4 linked regions of the Diceros bicornis minor genome follow. The protein of the gene in region 2 purifies or fractionates together with the protein of the main gene of each other region. This does not show direct contact. Links are inferred from orthologs where the notes say so. Each region holds a gene or a part of one and is shown on either strand. Other genes may lie near its edges. The genes, in order: RPS3, NFKBIA, E3 ubiquitin-protein ligase TRIM22-like and ARRB1.

Region 1 (7,235 bases), on a different chromosome or scaffold from region 2:
TGGTTTTCTCACATCTTTCCATACACTAGATCTTATTTTTATTGTAAGTAGAGGTATCAGAAGTATGAGTCTGGGCTGGCCCAGTGGTGTTGTGGTTAAGTTCACGCACTCCACTCTGGCAGCCGAGGGTTCATGGGTTCGGATCCCGGGTGCAGACCTACACACCACTCATCAAGTATGCTGTGGCAGCATCCCACATACAAAATAGAGGAAGACTGGCACAGATGTTAGCCCAGGGCCAATCTTCCTCAAGCAAAAAGAGGAAGATTGGCAACAGATGTTAGCTCAGGGTGAATCTTCCTTACCAAAAAAAGAAAAACAGAAGTGTGAGTGTTAGCAATGATACAAAAGCAGTGAAAAAAAAATTATTAAAATATTTATTCTGCAGTATTCTATTCATATCCAAAGACTCAGTTCCAGGCCCACCCAGAGTGAGTCACTGCTCAATTTTAATCAAATCAATGAGAACCTGACGACATCATCATGTCTTACTGGGGGCGTTATTATCTAAAGTAAGTGACAACCAAATATGGTCAATATTATCCTAGAACAATAATCCCTTAAGAGGTGCCCTGGTGGAGACGGATGGGCCCTCTCTCCGTGAATCCAGTTCCCTCCAAGACTGGCACAGACCCCTGGTTCTTTGGTTGAACACTAGATAAGTTGTTAGCTTATTCGGAGGTCTTGTAGAAAAAAACATAAATCTTTGAAAATCAGCCCAGCTAGATGCTCAGAGAAGGTCCTCAGGGAAGGCAGACCTAGGCTGCCTGGGAAAGCAGAAGGCCCCTCTGTCCTCCCTCCTCACTCTGAGCCCCAGGGCTCTTGGAGCAGGAAGACAGGCACACCCACCTTCCCTCACACTGTTTAAATTTTCTCTTCTTTTAATAAATAAATAAAATCTTTAAAAAAAAAAAAAAGGGCCGGCCCCATGGCTGAGGGTTAAGTGCACGCTCAGCTGCTGGCGGCCCGGGGTTCAGATCCCGGGCGCACACTGACGCACCGCTTCTCCGGCCATGCTGAGGCTGCGTCCCACATGCAGCAACTAGAAGGATGTGCAGCTATGACATACAACTATCTACTGGGGCTTTGGGCGGAAGAAAATAGAAAATAAAATAAATAAATAAGTAAATAAATAAGTAAATAAATAAATAAATAAATAAAATCTTTAAAATTTTCTCTTCTTTTTTTCCAAGCTCCTCCCGTTGGATCCAGGTAAGTTAAATGCTTTCTATGAGATTCCACTGTACTAGTCTTAAAGTGACTAAATCGTGGTCTACATTCTCTAAAACTGTGGTCTATATTCGTTGAACCAGGGCAAATCACAACTCTGATTTTTAGGAATTCCAGGACAGGACCTGTGTGGCACTCACAGGGCCCAGGCATGGCCTGAGGGTGGCAACAAGGCCATATGTGTTCTCAGACACATGGCCCTCTCTTCACAGTTCCAGGGACACTTCCGTGGCACTGTGGGCTAAACAGATTAGCCCTTGTTTACAGTTTGGATACCACGGCAGAGATTAAGGCTCTCTCACAGGCCCTGCTCTTAATTAGAATTCAGTGTATTGTGACTACTCTTTTTACAGCATTATTTTAAGCCATATAATGTCGTCTTCTTATAATGGTCTTAGATAAAATGAAAGTATCATGATAAAGACAAAGGCTTGCTTCGTGGGCTTTCTCCTGGGACCAGAGGACAATATCCAGGCAGGCAGCCTCCTGGTGTCACTGGGAAAGGACAGCAGATGAGCTACCATGGAGCCTCCAGAGGTGGCATTTACCTCAGAGAACCTGCCATGGTCTGGTCCTCAGCTCTGAGTCTCCTGAACTTGGTTTTGTGAGCATCCCAGGTAAGACATGGCCTTTGCAAGCAAATTCATTTGAACCACGCTACCAAGAACTGATCTAAAACCAGAATCCATGCAGTGATTTGTTTATCAAACTTGTATTGACACTGGGCCTGAGCCAGGCCATGTTCTTGGCTCAGCATCTAATGAACAAAACAGGCTTGGTCTCGGCTCTTACGGAGCTTACAGTCCAGTGGGAGAAACACATGAAGAGGCCATTCCAACCCAGTGAGATGAGTGTTGTGGTTATGGGAGCAACTAGGAGAGGCCCAACCCTGGAGGAAAAGACATATTTAACATGATGGTGGGGAAGGAAAGAGCCAGTAAAGGAAGAATATCATAGGAAAGGGAGGGCATGACCACTGGAGAAAGGTCTCAAGGGAACAGAACTAAACTTGCACCAGAACACATAGAGGAGGGTGACCATGGGCAAGAACAGGGAAGGAGAAAGGAAGGATGACCAAGGACACATACAATTATAGGGTAAATGAGGGGCAGTTCTTGCCTGTACAATCTACTTAGGGGGCAAGGGGTTAGGAGGGAGGTTGACTGCTGAGAGTGAGGGGGAGGCTCTGATTTGACAAAGATTACAATAAGCACCATAGGAGAATGAGGGGCATATCTGAATGAGGAAGTATTCTGGCCCCAGCATGCAAGGCTGGGTGCTCTCTCACAGCACCCACATCCTGAATGAGGGTGTAGACAGGTCAAGTAGACAGATACATCAGGGTTGAGCTTTTAGCAGCCTGACACCACTGAATTAACAGTGATCTGGATGAGGAGGGGAGTGAAGAGCAGAGGGAGAGGACACACAGAGAAAGAGCCTGTTCCCAGGTTCCCCATCTCAGTGACAGTCATCACCAAATATCCACCACTGGAGTCAGAATCCGGACCATCATTCTCAATGCCCCCTCAACCTCAATCTGTCATCGAGATACACTGAGTCCACAGCCTATCCATCTCTTTGGTTCATCCACTTCTTCCCTGGTCCCTCTGCTCAGCTCCCCCCAGAATTCTGTCCACGATTATAGGACAGATCTTTGCATCAGAGTTGTTTTAGTGCTAGGGAAAAGCTCAAATGGCTTCTAGGACCAGACCACAAATGGGCGAAGCTGCCAGGGACTGTGGCACATTGCAAAGCGCTTTTCCATTTACCAGGGAAGGAGAGCACAGTCACGAGGACATGTGGGCCTGGTATTTTGCTAGATCTTTATATATTTTTAAGAATAACCTAAAAGGGTTTTATAGAGAAATTTCCTGATTTTTAAATGCAAGCAAACTATTCAAATTTAAAATAAAATCATTGTTAGAGTGTTTAGTGAAGTGTACTGACATCTGCACTGTACTTTGAAATGCACCAAAAGATGCATTGGTGGGTGGGTGGAGGGATGGATAGATATGTAACGAAGCAAATAGCAAAAATGTTCATTGTAGCAGCTAGGTGATGTGTATACGGATGTGCACTGCACAACTCTTTCAACTTTTCTGTACGCTTGAAAAGTTTCATAATAAAATATGGGGGGAAATTCTTTTAATTGAAAAAGAATTGTGAGCCCATGAGCCACTGCTTTGTGACTTTTGTTACAAGTTGTAACCGACTTTATGAAAGTGGGGTGGGGTAAATGAGTTAATAATATAAAGGGCATAGAACAGTCTGTAGAATACTTAATAAACATTAGATATTATCACTTGGAACGAAGGAAATGGACACAGAATGGAGGAGCTGGGCGCCTAACTGAATTTCACTGAGGGCTTTTGGTGGATTTTCATTACAGTGTAGAGTGGAGGGACCAGGGTTCCATGCTTGTTAAACGCTGTTGCTCTGTGAGCTCAATGCCTGTAATTCCCATCTCTGCACATCACATTCCTCATTTTTTTTTTTTTGTGAGGAAGATCAGCCCTGAGCTAACATCCATGCTAATCCTCCTCCTTTTTTTTTGCTCAGGAAGACCAGCTCTGAGCTAACATCTATTGCCAATCCTCCTCCTTTTTTCCCCAAAGCCCCAGTAGATAGTTGTATGTTACAGTTGCACATCCTTCTAGTTGCTGTATGTGGGACACGGCCTCAGCATGTCCCAGAAACTGTGTCGGTGGGCGCCCAGGGTTCCCAACCCAGGCCGCCAGTAGCAGAGCGCTGCCACTTAACCGCTAAGCCACCAGGCCAGCCCTCTTGCTCTTTTTTAAACCAATGAGAATTGGACTCTAAGCTCCCTTGCAGTTCTGAAGTTCTCACGATCCGCTCCCTTTCCTGTTTCTGCCTACAGGTGTCTCCATCACTTTTCTTCTTCCTTTAATGCTAAGGTAAAAACTACATTTCCCATGAGGGCCCACAGGCGTCGACGTCGCGCAGTTCTTTGTCGTCGCTCCGCGCCCTTTATACCCACTTCCGCCCGAGAGCCACTTCCTTTCCTTTCGGCGGCGCGCGGCGGCAAGATGGCGGTCCAGATTTCCAAGAAGAGGAAGGTGAGACGCTGGGGCCCGGGTCCGTGGGATTGCGGCCTCGCGCAGTTCAGAGGCTTCTCGAGGTGCCGCCGCAAGACCCGCAGCTCCGTGCCCGGCCGTGGGAAGCGGCTTGGGCCGTGTGGCGTCCCCGGGGGCCGCGGATGGTGGTGGATTGAGTGCGGGGCCTGAGCCGGGCGAGCGCAGTGTGGCGGGGAAGGGAAAGACAGATTTCCGCCGGTTCCGGGCGGAGAGCAGACATAAGCACCCGGCGCCGCTTCTGCTCCGGAGAAGGGGCTTGTGAGCATTTACTGGTCAACAAATAAAATTGGTAAAGGCGTTGTATTTGAGGGCACCGTTGTTTTGGGGAGGGAGGTAGCCGTGTACGTATTCTTGCCTTCTTACTAGTCGTGTCTGAGTGCGGCCGTCTGGCCCCAAAGACCGCAGTTGGAGAGGCTACCGACAGTTTCTTACTCCATCCGGGGTCCAAGGAAAAGGGGTGGGCGAGTGGAGGGAGGGGACCTGGGACGAACACTTTCTGAAGTTTAACTTTTCGCATTTCCATGGGAGAGAAACGTGTAAAGTCCATTTGCTTTAGAAACAGGCAGTTTGCCATTTCGTGTGTACATACATCGATGTTAAGATGAAATCCACACGCTTTTGTGAGTTGGGATTTGCCAGCTCTGTAAGACACAGCTACCTTAAGGGAGGCGAGACAACGTGGCTGGGGTTCTTCTGATGGTCCAAGTTGTGTCCACAAGGGAGACTGCTTAACTTCAGTTATTGTCTGTCCTTTTCGCTAGTTTCAAGCGGAGTGTCCCTGCTGTGTGGAATGAATGAGTTGTAAATGTGCTTTTTCGGAGTAGTTTTCTGTGTAGCGTGTTTGCATATAAATGAGTCTTGAAAACCCTTCAATGAAGAGAAGATGACGAGTCTGACTGAAAGTGTCATCTTTGTCCTGGTGGCTCCTATTCCGTGCTGCGTTCTGTGGCACAGTGTTAAGGGTCCTGGGTCAGAGTAACTTCTGAGAGATGACATAGAGGCATTTGTCTGAGAAGGGTTGCTACATTCCTGTTGGAAGGAGGGTAATAGAATTGATGATGGATGATTTGTTGGAGGTGCTGAATTTTGATGAAATTGGCTGAAAGTCTAGGCAGGAGAAAGTGAGCCTGCACCCATGTCGTAATTTTGAATTTTGCTTTTTGGTTAGTTTGTCGCTGATGGCATCTTCAAAGCTGAACTGAACGAGTTTCTCACTCGGGAGCTGGCTGAAGATGGCTACTCTGGAGTTGAGGTCCGAGTGACACCAACCAGGACAGAAATCATCATCTTGGCCACCAGGTAAAAACTTGTTTTCCTGGCTATCACCTATAATTGTTGTATCTACTAAGATGGTTTATTCTGTAAACCTAAGGGGACAGCTAGTGAATTTGGCCTTAGCAAATGGAATTTTTTTCAAACTGCATTTTTTATCCAACTCTAGTTCTTGTCATTCAAAATTTATACTTGTTTGTCAGTTGAATGAGACTTTACTACCAAATATATACAAGATTTAAAGGTATGTCTGGGGGCCAGCCCGGTGGCGCAAGCAGTTAAGTGCACGCGCTCTGCTGCAGTGGCCCGGGGTCCACCGGTTGGGATCCCGGGCGCGCAGTGATACACTGCTTGGCAAGCCATGCTGTGGCGGCATCCCATATAAAGTGGAGAAAGATGGGCACGGATGTTAGCCCTGGGCCAGTCTTCCTCAGCAAAAAAAAAAAAAAAAAAAAAAGGAGGCGTATTGGCAGATGTTAACACAGGGCTGATCTTCCTCACAAAAACAAAAAAAAAGGTATGTCTGGAATTTTTGTGAGAGCTATGAATTGTCCCTTTTTATTTTCTCCAGGACACAGAATGTTCTTGGTGAGAAGGGCCGGCGGATCCGGGAATTGACCGCTGTGGTTCAGAAGAGATTTGGCTTCCCTGAGGGCAGTGTAGAGGTGAGGGATCCTGGCTTGTGCCAGAGGTTACTGTGGACCTGGAAATGGCTCTTTAGGATGGTACTTCTAAAAACCCTTACCATCACCCTGAAGACTTTGTTTATTCATGATTAATGAGTATTACAAATGGATTGGTATTTTGTTGAAGTTCTCTTAATAAGCAGTGGGCTTAATTTTACAGGCCTGTTCTACTCATTTCTTGGTTAAGGGATTTTGCATTCAACTTGGGTATAGTAATGATATGTATGATGGATTGGCTGCCCCATCCGTCTTCTTGGTCTGGCCATAGGAAGAGGTAGGAGTGGAAGGGCAGGAGTGGAGTGGTTCAGCCTCAGTCACAGTGTGTGCTAGGTGTGGATGCTAGAGGTGCTTTAGTGCTTGAGGGATACTGCAGTGATGTGTACAGTGGTGATGGTAACAGGTTTAAGGATGTGCCTTGTTTCCTTCTTAAAGCTTTATGCTGAAAAGGTGGCCACAAGAGGTCTCTGTGCCATTGCCCAGGCAGAGTCTCTGCGTTACAAACTCCTGGGAGGCCTTGCTGTGCGGAGGTAAGTGTCCTGAGACTTTTAATGGTTGTGCCCGTTTTTGTGGATCAGAATATGGTGTGTCTTACATCTTGCTAATTCAGCAAATGAACTCTTTGTACGTGGCAGGCTCTGCTAGTCTCTGAGGTTGGCAATCCATGTCCTTGCTGAACTGACAGTCTAGCAAGGAAGACGAGTGAAAAAACAAGTTTTTTTTTTTTTTTTTTTTTTTTTTTTGTGAGGAGATCAGCCCTGAGCTAACATCCGCCAATCCTCCTCTTTTTTTGCTGAGGAAGACGGCCCTGGGCTAACATCTGTGCCTATCTTCCTCCACTTTATATGGGACGCCGCCACAGCATGGCTTACCAAGCAGTGCGTCGGTGCGCGCCCGGGATCCGAACCAGCGAACCCCGGGCCGCCGCAGCGGAGCGCGCGCACTTAACCGCTTA
Region 2 (7,850 bases):
AGTTTCTGGTGGCAGATTTTGCCTCTGATGCTGAGGGATCACGAGCCCCTGACCTGATTATGGTGCCCAAGAGCAGGGTCCTCCTATCATTTATGTCCCATATCTGCGGAGTACCAGACCTTTGTGTGGAAATGCGCCAGTGCTAAGTATCCTCATACCCTGACTACACTCAGAATGAATTTACACCCTCCCACCGAAAATAGCAAATATACTGGTATGCAGAGGAAGCAATGTGCTGTTAAGCCTCCACCCCCTTCCTGATCCAACTGCTCCTCCCTGAACACAACAGAACATGATCAACCCTACACACCTATAGATATGACTTGGTTACTGCCAACAAACAGTGGAAAGAGAGAGCCAGGAATTCTGGCCGGGGGTGACACTTGCAGGCCTCTCCTTCCCTTCCCTGGCAGCAGGTTACCCAACAGGCAGACTGGGCACATGGTTGGGGCACCAGCAGAGCAGGTACACCTCAAAGAGGTGTTTATTGAAAGGATGAGTTAAAAAAAAACACCTAAGTGGTCCTTGTGAGATACATCAGAACTCTGTTGAGCTACTTACACTTATTTTACAGTGTAGTGTTTAAAAGTCCTTTGGAGGAGGGATAACTCTCTTTTCAGGGCTTAGAGCCTCTGATTCCAACCCTGCCTGCCAGAGACAGATCGACCTTCCTGGACAGACACACTCTACCCCCAGCCTCCAGTCACCCGGAGGAGCCGAGACCCCACGATGCCAGGGAGCTGAAAGTGGGTGCCTTCCCCCAGGCACCATGAAGACATCATACTTTAGCTGAAAAAGAGGTTGTAAACTCAGGGCCTAAATCTTTTGATTTAGCCAAAAGATGCAGAAATGCATTCTTGTCTGGTTTTCACATGTTTTAAAAGTTGAAAAATTTCACATCAAAATCCATTTTCTGGGCGGGCCCCGTGGCTTAGCGGTTAAGTGCACGCGCTCCGCTACTGGCAGCCCGAGTTCGGATCCCGGGCGCGCACCGACACACCGCTTCTCTGGCCATGCTGAGGCCGCCACATACAGCAACTAGAAGGATGTGCAACTATGACATACAACTATCTACTGGGGCTTTGGGGAAGAAAAAGAACAAAAAAAGGAGGAGGATTGGCAATAAATGTTAGCTCAGGGCTGATCTCCCTCACCAAAAAAAAAAAAAAAAATCCATTTTCTGATTTTTTCGTTAACAATGGAATATGAGTACTGCACTCAAAGTGCCACCTGGAAAAACTCATCTGAGCTGAGTGTGAGGGACATGTTCTCTCAGGTCTACACTGTGAGAGGCGCCACCACTTCCCCTTGGACTCACATGGCCGGCGTCACTCATCTGTGAAACCTGTCCAGCCCTGATGGGTTAAGTATTTGAGTTAGACCCTTTAAAGCTTTGATCCCCATTAAATTGCAGAATTTGTAGCAAAAGAAACACGTGATGGCTTTGACAGTTTTATTTTTAAGTCACTACAAATGAAGGTCCTGACAGCTGTTTTTCTGTGCAGAAAGATCCAGAGCTTGGGAGCTCCACATTCCGAGGGGGATGAATGGAGGCGGTTGCTAACCACCACAGGAGGAAAGAAGACTGAGCCTGGGATTGGAAGCAGAATATAAATTCAGAATTCCACAGTGGGGCTGTCCATGAGCAGTGTGCCTGACTCGCTTGCCCTTCAGGACTCTGTCATGGCCCCTCTCTCTCCAGGCCCGGCTGCACTGAGCAATGGGTAGCCTTTTTCAGGAGTTCAGTTTGCTGGGGCTAAAATAATTTTGGTTTAATTGGCCAGGGCAACTGGCACAGGACACCCTGCCCATGACGTTAAGAAAAGCCAAGTATGTTGGACCAGCTGGCTGAACTTACAGAAAAATCTCCCCCACGCTGCCAGGCCACTGGGCATTTCAGGCAGTAGGTTCGGTCCACACTGGGCATTTCCCAGCCAAGAAGAGCGTGAGCATCACTGGCCACCCTGTCATCCCCTACGGCTGCATGCTGGGCTAAAATACAAAGCAGCTTCAAGGTGAACTTATTCATTCTTTTGCCTCTTGCATTAAAAAGAAAAACGCCAAAAGACACTAAAAATAAGTTTTTTAACATCTTTAAAATGGTCAAGATTAGCTAAAATGTTTGACAATGAGGTGGGGAGAATTCTAAGTCTCTGAGTCCATAAAGTTCTTTCTAAACCAAAAATCAGTTTTGGCGTCTTCTCCTGCCCCACCTGCTTATGTTCTCTGATTTCCAGGTATGTTCTTTATGGGCCAAGTTGTAATGTTTGTTGATCTAAACCAAACAGAGCTATCTACGGTAGGGAGAAAACCTGTTGGATTACATTACTCAAAACTGTCTCCCAGGTTGCAGAGAAACAAAAGGCACCTCCTTGGGAATCCCCACCACGGGGACAGGTCATCAAGGCTCAGCACCTCCCAAAATTTCCAAAAGCAGGTGACAAATCTGGGCTGCCTGGGCCTGCATCTCACCACTAGGTGTCACACTAAACAACCAGGAATAAACACCACCAGGTCCTGAAAGCCTCAGGAACACAAAACCAAAACAAAAAAAGGAGGTGCAAAGATACTTATTCCTGAGAAATGTTTTACTTATGCATGATTTTCTTTTTAATGATCATTTTTAAACCCGCAGCTAAAAATTCTCTTCTAAAGTATCCTTTCTAAGTGAGGCATTCCGAGTTCGACGCTTGTGTATGTTTTTTACAGACGTGATTATCCCCAGATAGGAGGCCATCAACCCTCCATTTTGTCTAACAATTGGAGTAGAAAGCACTTTGAATGTCTTCCAAATTATTTTCTCATTTTCACAATATGCTTTCAAAGTGTTAATACTATGACTGCTTTGGCCAAATGATTAATATGTTGGAATAGAAATTACATAACCTGCCATGGGGTGCCTAGCTAAATTTCTCTGCATTTCAGTTTCTTCTTAGGAAAGCAGGAGTAATACCTATCTTACGAGATTAGTTCGGGAACTAACAATGTGCTACATAAAGTCCTGGAGTTCTTCCAAACATTTACACTGATAGTTCCAAGAGACATGGCCCCCTTAAGCAGAGTTATAAATGCATTTGTGACCAAGTAATCCAATTTTTAAGCTGGAAAAAAACTCTAAATAGCATTAAGTCCAATCTTATTATTATAAAAACAGGTATATCACAGCAAAGTTAACTGATCTCTCCAACTTAATAGGCAGTTAATTCGAGGTAGAGCCTGGAATGGAGATCTCCTGCCTGTAGTTGCTCTCCCACCTTGCCCCGGTAATCGTACATTTGAATATCATATGCCTGCAGATACAAAGGGGTCTATCCCTGGGAAGTTTCCATTTTAACACGTGATCATCACTACCCCGAAGGTTTTATTTCCTGATTTTACCTTTCCTCCGCATCTTTTGTCTCACACCCCCATGGACCCAGGTTCCCTACATTCAGGTATCGGGGGCGGGGGAGATGAGAAGAGAAAGGTTGGTTAGTCCACGGCCAATCAAGTTAAAGATGATTGCAGAAATCTCTGCAAAACTATAGAGGCCTCCTGGGGCTAATTCTGCAGAACTTAGACCAAAGTTCCTTTATTTTGCCTGGACCAATTCTAGAAGTAGATGAACTCAGTCCGTGGCTTGTTGGCTAAGAGGTGGGGGTAGGGTGGGGAGCATAAGTTCTATCTCTGCAGGTGAAACCAGGGGATGGGGAGCCTGGAGCGACTACCCACGTTTGCACAGATAGGTTCCACCACTGCCTCCCCCAGCGCAGGAGAGCAAGGAGGAGGCAGGGGCAGGAGGGGGCAATGTTAGGGCTGGCTGCCTTGCAGTGGCCTAGCAGTTACTTTCCCAGCCATCCATAAGGCCCAATCCTGGATAAGACACTACTCAACCCATTCTTCAGCCTTCTTCTCCAAATGCTTCTGGAAAGTCACCCAGCTGGGCAGCCAGAGGTAGGCTCAGGATCCATTCTCTGCAGCAGCACAGTGCAAATCAGAGAACACGACCTCAGTGATGACTTCATTACTGCAAGGTATCTACAACTTCTAAGACAAGATTAACACCTTGCTCTGCTTGAAAAAAAAAATACAGTCATATTCAGCATTTTCCTGCATACTGGCCCAGTGCTTGTCCCTCCCCCAGTCAACAAGATTGTTAATCCCGAGGAAATGATTTGAGGGTTCTCCAAGCATTTCCACTTTTAACGCGAGGGGCTGAGGGGTGCCACATTCCCTGCACTGCCGAGAGCCTGGCGCTGGCAGGAACACAGAGGCAGCCCGCACTCCACCTTCTAACCGCCAGTGCGTCCTTCTCGGCAGACAGAAGTTTAGGGAAGCGAATCCCTACACCAAGCCATCATTTCCACTCGAGTTTTCAAAAGATCAAAAATCGGAAAGGACCGTTAGGTTGGCAAACCCTAAAGAGGAACCGCCCAGCAGGTCGGCGTCCTTGGAATCTCAGCAGCCGAGGACCCCTAATCAAATCGATCGTGGGAAACCCCAGGGAAAGAAGGATTCTTGCAGACGGACAGGATTACTGAGTGCAGGCTGCAGGGAAGTACCGGGGGAGGGGGCCCGGTCGGGAGGACTTTCCAGCCACTCAGCCTTCATCAAAAAGTTCCCTGTACATGACCCCAGTGGCTCATCGCAGGGAGTTTCTCTGCTGAACCCCGGCTCAGGGTTTAGAGTTCTTTTTCCCCTAGCAGAGGACGAGGCCAGTTCTCTTTTCTGGTCTGACTGGCTTGGAAATTCCCCGCGCCTGACCCCGCCCCGGAGAAATCCCCTGCCAGCGCTTATAGGGCGGCGCGGCGGCGCTGCCGAGCCCACAACAGTCCGGAGCCGCCGCGCCGCCCGCCCGCCCGCCCGCGCTCGACGCTGCGAGAGAGCGAGCGCTGCCCGCGGCCGAGCGCACCTGGGGAGCCGCGCCGAGCCTTTCCGCGCCATGTTTCAGCCCGCCGAGCACGGCCAGGAGTGGGCCATGGAGGGGCCCCGGGACGCGCTCAAGAAGGAGCGGCTGCTGGACGACCGCCACGACAGCGGCCTGGACTCCATGAAGGACGAGGAGTACGAGCAGATGGTGAAGGAGCTGCGCGAGATCCGCCTGGAGCCGCAGGAGGCGCCGCGCGGCGCCGAGCCCTGGAAGCAGCAGCTCACCGAGGACGGAGACTCGTAAGTGTCGCAGGCCTGGGTGGCGGGGCCGGGTGGGGGCGAAGGGCCTGCAGCCCGAGCCGCTGGGCCCGCGATGGGGCCTCGGACCCGGGGTTTATGCACCGTCCCCGAGACGGTGCAGAGCTGCAGGGCTCCGGTGGGGACGGGGGGTGCAGAAGGTTAGGGGGTCGCTCCCGGGGCCGGGGTTCCGCAGCTCTGCCTTGCAGCCGCGCACACCCCCCCACCCCCCCGTCCCTGTCCTCGGGCCGGGGGCGGGGCGGCGGCGGGGACGCGAAGTCCCCGCTTGCATAAGGGGGGCGGGCGTTCCTGGCCCGCTGGCGGGCGCCGCGCGGCCGGGAGGGGAAGTACAGGGCGTTCCGGGCCGGCGGGAGGGCGGGGCGGGCTGGCCGGCGCCCGGCGCGGGGGGGCCCGGAAAGTCCCTGGGCGCCTGCCAGGAACACTCAGCTCATAATAACCTCGCGGAAAACACCGCGGCCGCGGCCTCCAGAAACCCCGGCCTTGCGCAATCCCCCGCAGCCCGCGCCTCCCCGCGCCCCACGCAATGCGCTCACCAGCCCTGGGGGGTTTTCCCTCTCTTCCCTCAGGTTCCTGCACTTGGCTATCATCCATGAAGAGAAGGCCTTGACCATGGAAGTGGTCCGCCAAGTGAAGGGAGACCTGGCCTTCCTCAACTTCCAGAACAACCTGCAGCAGGTGCGCCCCTTGCTCAGCCCAGTGCCTCTGACCCCGTGGGGGAGCTGGATCTAGCACACTTGCTCCCAAGCCTTGATAAATGAACAGTCACTGGTCATTGTCTGCCCTGACCTTTTACGTTGGAATCTGCCAACATCCTAGAGTAAAGAATTCATTGATTTGGTGAGGCCTTTATGAAGCCCATCTGGGGGCTCTGGTGTTTATTTGTTTGTCCCTTGTACCTGTCTGGGAGGAGCAGCACCCACAAGCAGGACTTCTCTGGGGTTCAAGGGAACTCAGACTGTGGGTTTAGCCCGTGGCTTATTCTCTTTGTGTTCCCTCTTCTGTCTGTAGACTCCACTCCACTTGGCTGTGATCACCAACCAGCCAGAAATTGCTAAGGCACTTCTGGAAGCTGGCTGTGATCCTGAGCTCCGAGACTTTCGAGGAAATACCCCCCTACACCTTGCCTGTGAGCAGGGCTGCCTGGCCAGCGTGGGAGTCCTGACTCAGTCCTACGGGGCCCAACACCTCCATTCCATCCTGCAGGCCACCAACTACAATGGTACGTCTGGCTGCCCTGCTCATCAGAGGGCAGGTCACATGGAGAAGGGGGGAGAGGCAACTGAAGGAGTCTAGGCAAGAGCTTAAATTATCACCACGTAAAGGTTGAGCTAATATGTATGCAAAAGGCCTATCTGATGCCTTTACAAAGTTCATTCAGAACCCTGGCTTCTTCAAGTTTGTCCCTTAAAGGAACAGGTGAAAGGTTCTGCTTGAGATGTGCGAGTTGAAACAAATAGTTATACTTTTTTCATTTTGTCCTTCCAGGCCACACGTGTCTGCACCTAGCCTCTATCCATGGCTACCTGGGTATCGTGGAGCTTTTGGTGTCCTTGGGTGCTGATGTCAATGCTCAGGTGAGTGCTTCCTGCCTCCAGGTGGAGTGCATCAGGCTCCAGGGCCCACCTCAGCAAGACTTTATGTGCTCTTGTTGCAAGCAGAAATTCCAAACTCATCTAAACATCTCAAATGCCTTTTGGTTTCAGGAGCCCTGTAATGGCCGAACTGCCCTCCATCTCGCAGTGGACCTGCAGAATCCCGACCTGGTGTCCCTCTTGTTGAAGTGTGGGGCTGACGTCAACAGGGTCACCTACCAGGGCTACTCCCCCTATCAGCTCACCTGGGGCCGCCCAAGCACCCGGATACAGCAGCAGCTGGGCCAGCTGACCCTAGAAAACCTTCAGATGCTGCCAGAGAGTGAGGATGAGGAGAGCTACGACACGGAGTCTGAGTTCACAGAGGACGAGGTGAATCTCAACTTCTTTGTCACTCTGCAAAAAGCAGTGAGAGTGGCCATTCTCCCTGCACCCTCCCAGGCCCCTAGAGCTACTCTTCCCTAAGGTCTCAACATAGTGAAGTTCTCAAACTTGCCTGTGCATAACTAGTATCCCACGAGTGTGTCTTTTCTCTTTTGCCCCTTTTTAAGGAGAGGAGCATTAAAGGAAAACTCCCTCAGTCCGTCCAGTTAATTTATATTTGGGTTATAGAGAATGCAGTCCAAGAATACCTGAGTTATTCCCACTAGCACCACCCACCATCATCCCAGCCCCCTTGGCAAAGCTCTGAAGTTTAACGTGCCTTTTTTCCTCTTGTTTTTAGCTGCCCTATGATGACTGTGTGCTTGGAGGCCAGCGCCTGACGTTATGAGCTTCAGGAAGTGTCTAAAAGAACATGGACTTGTATATTTGTACAAAAAGAGAGTTTTATTTTTCTAAAAAAAAAAGAAAAAAGAAAAAAATCAAAAGAGTGTACTACTTATAACCACACTGCCTGGCCTGAAACATTTTACTGTGGTGGATCAGCTCTCATTTGGTTATTTTTGTGAACTTTGGAAGGGGGACAAGCAAGATCACTGGAATCCCAAGAAAACCCCTTTTAAACCTCACCTTTGTGGGGCTTTTAGAGAACGTGGTCCAAAATTTGATGAAAGGAATACATTTTATTTATTGTGCTTCTTGATTGAACCA
Region 3 (7,009 bases), on a different chromosome or scaffold from region 2:
TTCTAATGAGTCATCTGTTAGTCTTGGGATCAAAGGGACCCTGTTTCAAACACACTGAGTGCTACTACAGATTGAATTGTGTTCTCCAAAAAGATGTTGAAGTCCTAACCCCATATATGTGTGAATGTAACTTTATTTGGAAATCATATCTTTGCAGATGATCAAGTTAAAATGAAGTCATTAGGGTGGGCCTAAATTCAACATGACTGTGTACTTATAAAGATGGAAAATTTGGACACAGACAGACATGCACACATGGAAAATCTATGTAAAGACAAAGGCAGAAATCAGGGTGATGCATCTACAAATCAAGGAATGCCAAAGATTTCCAGCTAACTATCAGAAGCTAGCAGAGAGACTTGGAACAGATCCTTCCCACACAACCTTCAGAAAGAACCAACCCTGCCAACACCTGTGATCTTGTATTTCTAGCCTCCAGAATCGTGAGAAAATAAATTTTATTTAACTCGTCCATTTGTGGTACATTTTTTATGGCATCCCTAGAAAATAACACCAGTACTTATTTTTCCTTTATTCATTCATTCTTTATTCTATCATTGAAGAAGCAATATACCATTGAAATTCTCCCCACCTAAGACAGACAGACAAACAGACAGATACATACAGAGATAAGACATATGCTCCCCTCTGGAGATGGAGCAATGTAGGAGTTTTTACAGTAAGGTAAGGACCAACTAGGTCCTGAGTTTCCTTATCTCACTATATCCTGATGGTCTGCACAGAGGCTTTCTGTATCTGTACAGTTTAGACAAGAAAAAGGAAAGTATCTCCACAATAAGGAGAATAAGTCCTATGAGGGGTTGAACCAACATTCTTGAAACTTCCCCTGTTCCCTGGATCAGGAATTGCCAATGGGAAAGTGGACTTGTCCTTGGCATCCAGAGACTTGAGGAAACTCAGAAACAGTGCAACTCCTCTCCATCCCTCTACGCTCAGAGCTCCCTCTTCAACCACCTCTTAGAGATCAGGGTTTAACTTGCCCCACATTAATTACCCTCTCCCCAAACACTCTAGCTCCCAGGTCAACTAGTTTCAAAGAAATCATTTGATAACAGAGGCCATCTTCATAAAGCTGCCCCTGGTCTCATCCCTTTTTCTCACTGTCAGTTCATCAGAATATACTCTATCTCTCACTTCAAATTAAAGAGTCTTTCACCCTGATTCCAAGAATAGTTTCCCCACTGGTCTCCCTGATACTGCCATTGCTCCCACAAAGTCTCTTTTCATCACTGTTCACACTAACAGCTAGAATGATTTTTAAAAGTATACATCAATCTTGTCACTACTCTGCTCAAATGCATGTCATTTAGCTTGAGTCCATCTTTTTCGTGGTCTAGTTAGGGGCACATAACACATCCCCTGCTATGGCCTCATCCCTCTCAGCCCACCTCCTACTCTTGTGGAACCCACACTGGCTGTTTTTATGCTCCTTAATCACTCTGGACAAAAATCCATCTTAAATTCATCATTTCCTTGAATATGCTGCTCAAAATCACCTGTCCATGCTAAGACTTAACCTGAAATTTATTTAAAATTTCAAAGCTCTTTCCCAGGGCACATAGATTCTGTCTCCATTACAGCCCTTTTGGTATATTATTGTTATTTCTTTGTTGTACATTTGTACCATAGTGAGTTTCATCTTTTAACACACTACATGACACTTTTACCCCTTGTTTTCTTTCTCCTGACTCAGAATATAATATTTCATAGGTACTTCATATTTATTTTATGTTCAGTAGATGTTAACACAATTTTTTTCACCATAGCTGTATGCTTTTGTTCTTGTGAATTTAAGCAGAAATATTAAAAATTAAAAAAAAATTCATTTCTTCCTGTTTATTGAGCTCTGTACTAGAACTGAGTAGACAATTAACATATACCATCTGTGAACCTTGTCCAAGTGTAAGGCACAGACTCATGACCTCTGAAAAGTGCAAGGAAATAAGACACACATGAAAACATATGTAACACAGAAATCAAGGAACAAAGTATTCACAGGTGAGATTAAGATGGGGTTCTTTGGAGAAATAACCAACTCCTTGTCTTTGTGCAAGGGAAAATTGAGTAAGGAGTTGAGGTAATAAGCAATGGAAAGGTGTGTCTAAGATGATGAGGAACAAGTTCTAAAGCAAGACCTCTCACCAGAAGGTCATGAGGCACTACTGAAGTAAGAGTAAACCCTTGCACTCAGCAGAGAACAAATTCCCTGTGCCTGGAACTCCAGAGATAAGTGACCACAGAGGAACTGCAGAGATAGGTAGCATCTGATAAGGCAGCCTCTCTCATTAGGCTGACCCAAGGGCTGGTAATTCATCAGGATGTTTGTGGATAGCTTCCTAGAAGCTACTAGGAACAGAGGAAAAGGATAATCTTCAATAAGGTCTTATCCCCGACGGAGCCCCTAAGATCTCTTCCCTCTATCATGAGTCCATATAAGGGCTCTTATGTCTGCTGGCTCTCACCAGGAGCTTGGGCTTTTATGAAGAGGGAAAACAGGACTCCATCCTCACAGCCTTTTCTGGAGAAAGGAGGAAGGAGTTCTCTGCCTCTGAAATAAAAGAGTATTCTGGCTCATCTTGTCAAGGTAGAAAGTCAAAACTACAGAATAGGAAGAAGGTGAAGGTAACAGTTTGGAGAAATAATGGTCCCTCCAAGAAACAAATGACATTCTTTGCCTTTTTAACCCTTCCTATTTTAAAGGTCACTCCTCTCCCAGACTCAATGCTCTCTTTCTCTGCCGCTTTAGCAGAAAACCTGTAAGCTGGCTCTTTTTGTTAATTCAGAGCAGCTTTAGAACCAATAAACTCACCCAAACACATTCATTCTATTCTCAAAGACTGCTGCCCTTTGCCCTCACAAGGTACCTTACACACCTTCAGGAGAAGTGGAGGAGTCTTGACTCCGTGGAGATCAGGTGCAGGTGTGGTCAAGATTCATTCATGAAGCCAGACTGATGCTTGTTCTAGAAGAGGAGTTTCCCCACAGGAGCTGGGTGAGAAATGAAAGTTAAGTTCTTAGAAGTAGAAATGAAACAAAGGAAACAGAACAGAAACTTAAAAACAATGGGAGGACACCAGAGGAGAGTCATGTTTCAGCATGTTCTAGGGCCTGCACCGATGAGTCACCCAATCTCTATATTCTTATTCCTCTCCCAGTTTACTCCAGCAAAATATTTGATAAGAATATGAATTACAATGATACATTCTACATCTTGCCCGAATACTCAGAATTTCAATTCAATCCTATAATTATTAGTTAAGCTTATCCAATAGTCAGATCTTAAGCAAGTCACTAGGGATAAAATATAATTCAAAAAGGCTCGGCACCTCACCTCTTGTATTGCAGAGTGTGATGGAAAAAGCAATCGCCTGCAAATTTGAGCTGGCACAGTGAGTATTAGTGGCTGTCATTGTGAATAGTAAAAATAAAATTTTTAAAATATCTTCAATGTGAGCCTATTTAGAAAATATTTTCACAATGTTATTGAATCTTAGAAGTCCACCAGTTAATTACCAGTTTCTGCTCCTTATCCAGGCAGGCCAGAAGAGGAAGGATTCTCAAGACTAATCATGGTAAAACTGTGTCATTTCCATGTTACTCAGCAACTAGGAGGAGGGTGAGAATATGGAGGTTAGTAGATGGTGCTGTTCCAGTATAATCTTTCACTGAGTAACACTCACACCTCCAAAATTTGCTGATTTTTCCCTGCTTCCTTTGGAAAACATTTGGTCCTCTCTATACCATAAACCAAAAGCAGAACATTTTATATTTCCTACACGTACTTTCATGCCACATTATCTATTGTGTTGTTGTTCTGACTACATGTTCCAGATGTTGCAGTTACAAGACGATGGATGCTCCATAACATGGATCCCTGACGGACGGAACTGAAGAACACATCATTCTTCACACATTAACTGATGTGAGACAGGTAGGGCACTGAGAAGTTGATGTTTTTCCAATTAAAGCACAGATATTTTGGTATTGTTTGTAATCTACAGAAAAGTAAGAAAATCTTGGCTTATAAACTCTTCCTGAATCACTTATATCTGTGAAGTAGTAACCGAAAATTATATAGACATAAATGCTGAGCCATATTGACAGTTTCAGTTTCTCGGCTATGAATAAAATTTGTTCTAATGATAAATAAACTCATGATGCCTTTCAAGTGCAGTGAAAGTCCTCCACATTTTGTATAAATTGCATTTTTCCTTTATCTTCTTTGTTATCACATAATACTGTCATTGAGTATCCCTCCTATTCTGGCCCTGTGCCCAACAACAGTAAGTTGTCTGAAGGCGGAAAGGGACCTTTTCTATGTTGTTCCTTCATGTCTCAGATCTACTACAAAGTGTTGTATATAGGGAGTGATATCTAAATAGAAAGGCATGCAGTAGCATAGCTATAGATATCATTTTAATTACATTGAACAAATTGATGATAATCACAGTTATATTCTATTGTTTTTGTGGCAGTCAACGTAATTGCTGTGATTCATAATGAAATTCTCGTATTTGTATTAACACATATGAACTCCCTTGACAAATTTTAATGAACAATTTTCCATTTCTTGTGTTTTGTTCCTAGGATTGACCCAGATACTTACCTCAATGCCGGATGTTTCCTCTATCTATACCACCACACTCTAACCGCATTACTTCCTGTACCCTGTGGTTTTTTCAGACTGTAAACAGTAAAAAATTGTGGGTTCAAAATGGAAGAACTTTCATGAGACTCCTCTCCAGCAAGAGATGTAGGGACTGGAGGGAAACACAGAGCGCTAAGGAGAATTTATTATTCCCTGGGCCTTCAGAACCTAACAAGCTAGAATGTGGACCATAACAAAGTGGCTACCTTTGTAAATAGACTTTGGGTGGGAAAAGGAGCATGGTTCCTTCCGGTTTCCTTTTGGCCCATGTTTTCTTGTCCCTGACAAGCTTTGATTTCCTCACTGGTTTCTCTCCACCTTAAATCTAATGTCTCAGAGGAAATTCCCAGGACATCAATGGCACTCTCCCTACCCTCCCATCCCCTCTTGGGCCTCTGATTCTCACCTACATTTTCCAGAGGAATTTTTTATAATCTCTTCTCAGACAAGATCAAAAACATCAGGTTTTCTATGTACCCATAATTTTTAAATTATAGGTTGATCCAAGGCTTTATAGCCCAAAGCTGCCCTATCTCAACCTACTCAAAAATAGATACCAAGTACTGGGTCTTGAGTTTTGCAAGATAGGGATCTCAGGGGCTAAGGAAGAGGGATCTAGAACAGCCAGCTTTTATACCCCCCACTGCCAAATAGATCTTTTTCTTTACATTCCAGAAGCACTTGGACCTCGTGTGAAGATCTCACAGAGAATGCATTAGTTCTCTTGGGCCCAGGACTTGAGGTCAGAACAGTGATTCAAAGGGAGAAAAGACTACAGGCACACTTTGCTTTATTGTGCTTCACAGATACTGTGTTCTATTACAAATTGAAGATTAGTGGCAACCCTGCATAAAGCAAGTTTATTGGCCCCATTTTTTCCAAAAGCATTTTCTTGCTTTGTGTCTCTGTGTCACGTTTTGGTAATTCTCACAATATTTCAAACTTTTTCATTATTATTATATTTGTTATGGTGATCTGTGATCAGTGATCTTTGATGTTACTATTGTAATTGATTGGGGTGCCATGAACTAAGCCCATATAAGGCAGTGAAATTAATCAATAACTGTTGTGTGTGTTCTGACTGCTCCATCAACCAGCCATTCCCTTGACTCTCTCCTTCTCCTCAGGCCTTCCTATTCCTTGATATACAACAATACTGAAATTTGACCAATTGATATCCCTAAAATGACCTCTAAGTGTTCAAGTGACAGGAAGAGAGGCACATCTCTCACTTTAAATCAAAAGCTATAAACAATTATGCTTAGTGAGGAAGGCATGTCAAAAGCTGAGATAGGCTGAAATCTAGGCCTATTGCACCAAACAACTAGTCAGGTTGTCAATGCGAAGGAAAAGTTCTTGGAGGAAATTAAAAGTACTACTCCAGTGAACATATGAATTCTAAGAAAGTGAAACAAACTTATTGCTGATGTGGAGAAAGTTTTAGTGGTCTGGATAGAAGATCAAACCAGCCACATTTCCTTAAGCCATAAGCCTAATCCAGAGTAAGGTCCTAACTCTCTCAATTCTATGAAGACTGAAAGAGGTGAGGAAGCTTCAGAAGAAATGTTTGAAGTTAGCAGAGGTTAATTCATGAGGTTGATGAATAGAAACTATCTCCATAACATAAATGTGCGAAGTGAAGCAGTAAGTGCTGATGTAGAAGCTGCAGCAGGTTATCCAGAAGACCTAGTTAAAATAATTAGTGAAGATGGCTACACTAAACAACCGATTTTCAAAGTAGGTAAAACAACTTTATATTGGAAAATGCCATCTAGGACTTTCATAGCAAGAGAGAAGTCAATGCATGGCTTCAAAGCTTCAAAGGACAGGCTGACTCTCTTGTTAGGAGGTAATGCAGCTAATAACTTCGAGTTGAGCCAATGCTGATTTCCCATTCTGAAAATCCTAGGTCCCTTAATAATTATGCTAAATCTACTCTGCCTATGCTCTATAAATGAACAACAAAGCCTGGATTACAGCATAGTTTCTTGAATACATTAAGCCCACTGTTGAGACCTACTCCTCAGAAAAAAACAAAAAAATTCCTTTCAAAATATTACAGCTTATTGACAATGCACCTGGTTACCCAAGAGCTCTGAGAGATGCACAACAAGATTAATGTTTTCATTTCTGCTAATACAATATCACTCTACAGCCCATGAGTCAAGAGGTCATTTCAACGTTCAAACCTTATTATTTAAGCTATACATTTTGTAAGTCTATAGCTGGCATAGATAAGATCCTCAGACAGATCTGGGCAAAGTAAATTGAAAATCTTCTGTAAAAGATTTACCATTCTAGATACCATTAAGAACATTCATGATTTATGGGACGAGGTCA
Region 4 (6,928 bases), on a different chromosome or scaffold from region 2:
GCCTATTCTGGATATTTCATGTAAATGGAATCAAACAGTATATAGTCTTTTGTGTCTGGCTTCTTTCACTTAGCATAATGTTTTCAAGGTTCATCCATGTTGTAACATGAATCAGTACTTCGTCCCTTTTTACAGCTGAGTAATATTCCATGGTATGAATATGCCACATTTGAAAAAACACATTCATCAGTTGATAGACATTTGGGTTTTTTTTCACTTTTTATGACTGTTATGAGTAATGCTGCTATGAGCAGTTCTGTACAAGTTTTTGTGTGGACATCGTTTTCAGTTCTCTTGGATATACGCTTAGGAATGGAATTGCTGGGTCATATGTTAACTCTATATTTAACTTTTGGATGAACTATCAAACGGTTTTCCCAAGTGACTGCACTGCTTTACCTTCCCACTGGCAAGGTATGAGGGTTCCTGTTTCTCCACATCCTTGGCAACACTTGTTATTGTCTTTTTTGACCATAGCCATCCTAGTGAGTGTGAAGTATCTCCTTGTGGCTTTATTTTGCATTTCCCCAGTGACTAATGATGTTGAACATCTTTTCATGTGCTTATTGGTCACTTGTAGATCTTCTTTGGAGAAATGTCTATTCAAATCCATTGTCCATTTTTAATTGAGTTATTTACCTGTTTATTGTTGAATCATAATAGGGTCTTTATATATCCTGGGTACTAGGCCCTCTTCAAATATTTTCAAATATTTGAAAATAGTTTCTCCATTCTGTGGGTTGTTTTTTCACTTTCTTGACAGTGACCTTTGAAGCTCCAAAGTTTTTAATTTTGATGAAGTCCAATTTATCTACTTTTTTCTTTAATTGCCTGTGTTTTCGGTGTCATAGCTAAGAAACCATTGCCTTATCCAAGATCATGTCAATGTATACTTATGTTTTCTTCTAAGAGTTTTATAGTTGTAGCTCTTACATTTAGATCTTTGATCGATTTTGAGTTAATTTTTGTATATGGTGTGAGGTAGGGGGTCCAACTTCATTCTTTTGCATGTGGATATCCAGTTGTCCAAGCATCATTTGTTGAAAAGACTGTTTTATCCCCATTGACTTCTCTTGGCTCCCTTGTCAAAAGTCAATTGACCATAAATATATTCATTTATTTCTGGACTCTCAATTCTGTTCCATTGATCTACATGTCTGTCTTTATGCCAGTATCACATGGCAGTCTTGATTACTATAGCTTTGTAGTAAGTTTTGAATTTGGAAAGTCTGAGTCCTCCAACTTTGTTCTGTTTTTTTTCAGATTGTTTTGGCTATTCTGGGTACTTTGTGTTTCCATGTGAATTTTGGGATCAGCCTGTCAATTTCTGCAAAAAACTCAGCTGGGATTTTGGTGAGAATTTCATTGAAACCATAGATCAGTTTGAGGAGTATTGCCATCTTAGTGCTAAGTCTTCTCATTCTTTCTTTTGGGTATTTATTGAGTATAAAGTTGAGTTCATGCCAAATATACTGTTTTGATTCCTGAATTATTCTGCTTAATATTCTGTCATGGGCATTTCCCTGTGTTACGAAAGATGCAAGCATAATTTCAATCCTATGTACTATTCCATTGTTTGGCTGTACTATACAGAACTATAAACTCTTGGTTGTTGGGGATCTGTCTTGGAAGGTACTTTGTTCTGGGTCCGTTATGGTGCAGACCACCTTCTACAGGCACAAATGAACATTGGGAGGACTGGCGGCTCCCAGAAGAGCAGCAGAATATTAATGTCAAAGTTGACCAACAGGTAGCCCATGCTGCAGGTGGGGAATGGGCTCACTAGAGAAGCCAACATTCTGGTTCATGGAGACCTGACCTGCCAGCCCACCTGGCAGCACCACCCTGATGGAGTGGAATCAGAACACAGGATCCAACAGGCTGCATAGACACTGATAGAGCATGTTTATTTTAGGCATGTTTCTCTAGAACAGTGGATTTTTTTTTTTAATATCTCACCTCTTTATTTTTTTATTTATTTTTTATTGATGTCATAATGGTTTATAACATTGTGAAATTTCAGTTGTACATTATTATTTGTCAGTCACCGTATATATGTGCCCCTTTACCCCTTATGCCCTCCCGCCAACCCCCTTACCTGGTGGTAACCATTAATCTGTTCTCTTTGTCCATGTATTTGTTTATCTTCCACACATGAGTGAAATCATATGGTGGTTGTCTTTCTCTGTCTGGCTTATCTCACTTAACATAATACTCTTAAGTTCCATCTATGTTGTTGCAAATGGGATGATTTTGTCTTCTTTTATGGCTGAGTAGTATTCCAGTGTATATATATACCACATCTTCTTTATCCATTCATCAGTCGATGGGCACTTGTGTTGCTTCCAAGTCTTGGCTATTGTGAATAATGCTGCAATGAACACAGGGGTGCATAAGCCTCTTTGAATTGTTGATTTCAAGTTCTTTGTATAAATACCCAGTAGTGGAATAGCTAGGTCACATGGTATTTCAATTTTTAATTTTTTGAGAAATCTCCATACAGATTTCCATAGTGGCTGTACCAGTTTGCATTCCTGCCAACAGTGCATGAGGGTTTCCTTTTCTAGAACAGTGGATTTTAAACATTTAAAAATTTGCAGCATGACATTTATTTTACATTGTAACTCATTTCACCTGAAACAAAATTTTCACTAAATAATACTTACTTTTTGTATCAGGCAGGAGAAGCTGGTCTGCTGCACTAACAAACAACCCCCAAATCTTAGTGGCTCGAGAGCTTTCTTTCTCTCTCATGCTACATGTCTATCACCTAGCAGGAGAGCCCTGGGATTCAGGTTGCTGGAGGCTTCCCCATCCCGATCATTGCTGGTTTCAGTGGCAGAGGAAAGAGGGTGTGGTAGGTGGAAGAATGGCCCCCCAAAGATGTCTGCCTCCTAACCCTTGGAACCTTTGAATACATTATATTACATGGCAAAAGGGAATTACAGTTGCAGATTGAATTAAGGTTGCTAATCAGTTGATCTTAAAATAGGCAGCTGAATGTATCCTGAAGGGTCTTTAAAACTGGAAGAGGGAGGCAGAAGAGGAGGTAAGAGTGATGCAATGTGATAAGAACTCAACCTGCTGTTGCTGGCTTTGAAGATGGAGGAAGAGGCTATGAGACAAGGAATGTGAGTGGCCTCTAGAAGCTGGAGAGGGCAAGGAAACAGATTTGCCCCAGAGCCTCCAGAAGGGAGTATAGCCCAGCCAACATCTTGATTTTAACCTAGTGAGGTATATTTTGAACTTCTGAACTGCAGAATTGCAAGATAATAAGTTTATGTTGTTTTAAGCCACTAAGTTTGTGATCATTTGTTATAGCCTCCATAGAAAACTAATACAAAGGGCCTAGGGAATCATGCACCAGCCCTTAAATGCTTCTGCCTGGAAGTGACATGTGGCACTTCTATTCATATTTCGTTGGCCAGAGCGAGCCACATAGGTATGTCTAACTTCATAGGACTGGAGAAATTTGATCCACTCATATGTCCAGCCTTGGAGGAGAATAGAATATTGGTAAATATCGTAATATCTACCATACCCTTGCCATCTGCACCTCATGCTTATATCTTCTATTCTATTGCAAACAACAACAAGAACAAAGTGCTGGTGGCAATTCTTGAAGTTGACTTCATTATCAACTAATGGGTTATAACCCCTGGTTTGAAAAACACTGCTTTACAGACCCTCTTCTGCCCATGCCTCATGGACCACATGACACCTCCAAGGCATAGCTGATTGGTCCAGGCGTGGGACACCTGACCAAAGCTGGCCAATCAAATTCCTCTCCTGGGATTTGGAATTGGGCCATTCAGCCAGTTAACAGTGGGGAGCTGAGTGAGAGGCAGAGTGGAAACAAGGTCGGAGTGAGAGCCACATGAAGCCAAGATGATGGAGGAGTGGAAAAGCACTGAGTAAGCAGAGGGAGTTGGTCCACAGAGACAATGGAGCAGCCGCACAGAGAGCCGTGCAGCCGGGAAGACATGCAGCCCCTGAGGGAGAGGTGGAGAGAGACAGCAACCACCTGAGAGGCTGATGGCTTCCCCGTTCCTGGCTCCAGCCCCCATGCGTCCTGCCTGCGCGTCCTTCCCGTGAGATTTTTGCCTCCTTGTCATACCCCCTCCTCCTTTTCTTGAGCTACCCTTGGTGGGCTTCTTCCGTCTCTCCGGTGAGCCTTCATCAGCTAGAATGCCACCGGTATTTCCCTTATGGGGCCCAGCTTTGGCTCTGAGGATCAGGCTCGTGGGGCATAGATGGGACTCTGGGGTGAACCAACCGCACCGTCCCACAGTCTGGAAGCTTGGCTTTGACCACAGTCTTGCATGTTTGTGCTTGCTCCTCAAAGTGGACAGGCAGAGGCTATCTGTGTGGCACTGCACGTGTAGGGGGCCGGGGAACCGGAAGCACCCCCCAGGTGCCTTTTGTCTGACAGCCCTGGGGTCAGGAAGCCAGTGGAGTTGCTTCAGGGAGGGCTTGGCTGTGCGACAGAGTGGAAACCACATGGGCTCTGGAGACAGGCAGCCACAGTTTCCCTCTCTGAGCCTCAGTTTCCTCATCTCTGACATGGGATTGTTGAAGCATCAGCAACGTTCTGGGAAAAACACTTAGAGACCTGACTAGGGCGGAACACGCTCTCAGCGGCCTGGGCAGCTGCTCTGGTTGTTTGAGGAAGCCATCAGCATCCTGGCTTCCTGAGGAGGTGGCCCTGGGGGCTGGTGGAGTTAGCGACAGGATGTTCCCCATGGCTCGCCATGCTTCCTGCCCCTTGTCACCCTCCTCTCCTTCTCACCCCTTAGCCGCCCTTTCATTTCTTCCTCCTCCCCTCCCCTCTCCTGTCCTCATTTCCCCTCTTTTCTGTTATCCTGATGTTGATAAAAACACCTGCTTTAGGACAGCAGCAGGATCGGATATAAAGACCCAGCCTCTGGAGGCAGACAGAAAAAATTGGGTCTGAATCCCGACTTAGCCTCTGTTTGCTGTGTTCCTGGGCAAATTACTACATCTCGCTGAACCTCAGGTTCATTATCTATAAAGTGGGGGTTATAATGCCCACTCCACAGTGCTGTTGGGAGAGTAATTAAATAGGCACTCAGCAAATGCTGTGTCCTTCTTACCTCCCGCCCTCCTTCCTTGATTATCACTCCTCCTAGCCTGGCCCTGGCCCCCTCCTGTGTTCCTCTCAAGGATCACTGGAATGGCTTTCCCTGACTCGGTTATTTGTGGCTTCAGGCATTTGTGTCCCCTCCTCTCCCTCAGACCCAGGCCTCCCGAGGGTAGACTGACGCTTCTGGAAGCAGCTGGGGTCCCTGTGGCCTGTGCCACTTTTCTGGTCTCCTCTGTAGGCCCAGCCCTAGCGGGGGAGCTGCTGATTCAAACTGTGTGATCTGTATTTTTTCTCACTTTCGCAATTATTACACCCCAGCCGACTGTGGCATCTTCACACTGCGAACACTGATAAATATTTATGAGGAGGAGAGAAGCCCAGAACTCCTAGGGGAGGTTGGGGAGGGCAGTGCCAGGCCCTTCTTTGCAAGCCAAGCTCAGACCCATCCGTGGTCCTTTGGGCCCCATAAATAAGGGGGTGGTGTGGGCGGGGGTGGGCTATGGAGGCAGCACAGAGCCACCACCCACTCGCCTCCTTGGAGGAGCGACTGTCACTGTGACACTGTGGCCTCACCCTGCCTTGCCCTGGACGCCTGCTGGACCTCCTGCTCCTGGGAAGGATTTGGGCTGCGTGGATTCCTCTCAGCTACGTGTGGGCCTGCTCCATGCTCTGTCTGCTGCATCTCCCTCACCCTCTCTTGTTGTTTGTTTGTTTGTTTTTTCATCTGTTGTCACACCTCCAGGGCCTGCATCCCTGTCCTCTCCTCCCTTCCCTCCCTCCTCTAACACCTTCTCTTATCCTCAGGGTCTCTGTCGCTGTCTTTCGCTTTTCTTCTCTCCCTCCCAACATTACCCTGAGCAATTCTGGGGCTAGATGATGGGCGCTAGGTGAGGGGGTCTCAGGCTCCCACACCCAGCTGGAGGAGGCTGCACTGTGCTCTGGAAGGCAGGGAGCGCTTGGCGGGAGTGGGGACCATGCCTCTGCCTGACCCCATGTCCAGTGCTCTGCTGTGGCCACGGGCAATCCCTTCCCTTTCCTGGGCCTCAGTTTCTCAGTTGATTCCTTCACTCATTCATTCATTCACTCGCTCAACTAATATTTATTGAGTGCTTGCTCCCTACCATTCATTAACACGTCTTTGTTAAACACCCACTAGGTGTGCCCTTCTAGGGCTTGGGACACGTCAGTGAACGAAAGAGACAGGATCCCTGCCCTCAGAGCTGACACGTTAGCAGTGGATAGGCGTGAATGTGGTCAGCAAGCCCCTCATGTAGTAGGTTAGACAGTGGTGGGCACTGTGGGAAAAGGAAAAGTGGAGCGAGGGCAGGAGTGGGAGTGGGGAGTAGGCACAGGGCGAGGCCTCATCATGTAAGGGTGGGGGGGGCTGGCAAGCAGAGCTGTTGGGGAGGGACTGCTCAAGCAAAGGCCCTGAGGCAGGAACCGACCTGGTGTGTTGGAGGAACCCCAGCAAGCTGCCATGTGGCTGGAGGAGTGAGGGAGAACAGCGGGAGGTGATGCGGGAGGGAAAGGAGGCAAGGCAACCTCCAGACCTTACAGGCACTCCAGGCTTTTCCCTGCGCCAGCCAGGAGGAGTTTGGGTGGCGGAGTACGACTGACATCCTGACAGCCTCTCTCCACCTGCTGGGAAGAACAGACTGAGGGGCCGTGGCCGGAGCCCAGGAGACCTATAATGGCGACAGTGCGGCTTGGGTGGGGGCAGCGGCGAAGATGGTGAGATCTGATTATGCCGGCACTGTTGCTGCTCTCAACGCTTGGTTGGTGCCTGAAAGTCACTCTGGGCCCCTTGTCCTGGGTCCTGCAGAG

What was found.
Region 1: the proteins of NFKBIA (region 2) and RPS3 purify together in Homo sapiens (affinity purification with western blotting; 4 studies listed by BioGRID and IntAct, with this or other methods). This does not show direct contact. The link is inferred for Diceros bicornis minor from reciprocal best matches to the Homo sapiens genes NFKBIA and RPS3.
Region 3: the proteins of NFKBIA (region 2) and E3 ubiquitin-protein ligase TRIM22-like purify together in Homo sapiens (affinity purification with western blotting; 3 studies listed by BioGRID). This does not show direct contact. The link is inferred for Diceros bicornis minor from reciprocal best matches to the Homo sapiens genes NFKBIA and TRIM22.
Region 4: the proteins of NFKBIA (region 2) and ARRB1 purify together in Homo sapiens (affinity purification with western blotting; 3 studies listed by BioGRID and IntAct, with this or other methods). This does not show direct contact. The link is inferred for Diceros bicornis minor from reciprocal best matches to the Homo sapiens genes NFKBIA and ARRB1.

The regions. Positions count from the first base shown.
Region 1 is NC_080746.1:55,785,404-55,792,638, reverse strand, and holds the start of RPS3 (small ribosomal subunit protein uS3), read left to right. Parts: upstream 1-4,227; 5' UTR 4,228-4,277; coding exon 4,278-4,307; intron 4,308-5,192; exon of another isoform or gene 5,193-5,342; intron 5,343-5,493; coding exon 5,494-5,624; intron 5,625-6,168; coding exon 6,169-6,262; intron 6,263-6,715; coding exon 6,716-6,810; intron 6,811-7,235. UniProt on the Homo sapiens protein: Component of the small ribosomal subunit. The ribosome is a large ribonucleoprotein complex responsible for the synthesis of proteins in the cell. Has endonuclease activity and plays a role in repair of damaged DNA.
Region 2 is NC_080744.1:14,039,673-14,047,522, forward strand, and holds the start of NFKBIA (NF-kappa-B inhibitor alpha), read left to right. Parts: upstream 1-4,832; 5' UTR 4,833-4,921; coding exon 4,922-5,148; intron 5,149-5,732; coding exon 5,733-5,841; intron 5,842-6,174; coding exon 6,175-6,385; intron 6,386-6,651; coding exon 6,652-6,740; intron 6,741-6,869; coding exon 6,870-7,130; intron 7,131-7,482; coding exon 7,483-7,530; 3' UTR 7,531-7,850. UniProt on the Homo sapiens protein: Inhibits the activity of dimeric NF-kappa-B/REL complexes by trapping REL (RELA/p65 and NFKB1/p50) dimers in the cytoplasm by masking their nuclear localization signals.
Region 3 is NC_080746.1:63,065,623-63,072,631, reverse strand, and holds the start of E3 ubiquitin-protein ligase TRIM22-like, read right to left. Parts: upstream 3,020-7,009; 5' UTR 2,895-3,019; intron 1-2,894. UniProt on the Homo sapiens protein: Interferon-induced E3 ubiquitin ligase that plays important roles in innate and adaptive immunity.
Region 4 is NC_080746.1:55,868,057-55,874,984, forward strand, and holds the start of ARRB1 (beta-arrestin-1), read left to right. Parts: upstream 1-3,920; 5' UTR 3,921-4,035; coding exon 4,036-4,091; intron 4,092-6,928. UniProt on the Homo sapiens protein: Functions in regulating agonist-mediated G-protein coupled receptor (GPCR) signaling by mediating both receptor desensitization and resensitization processes.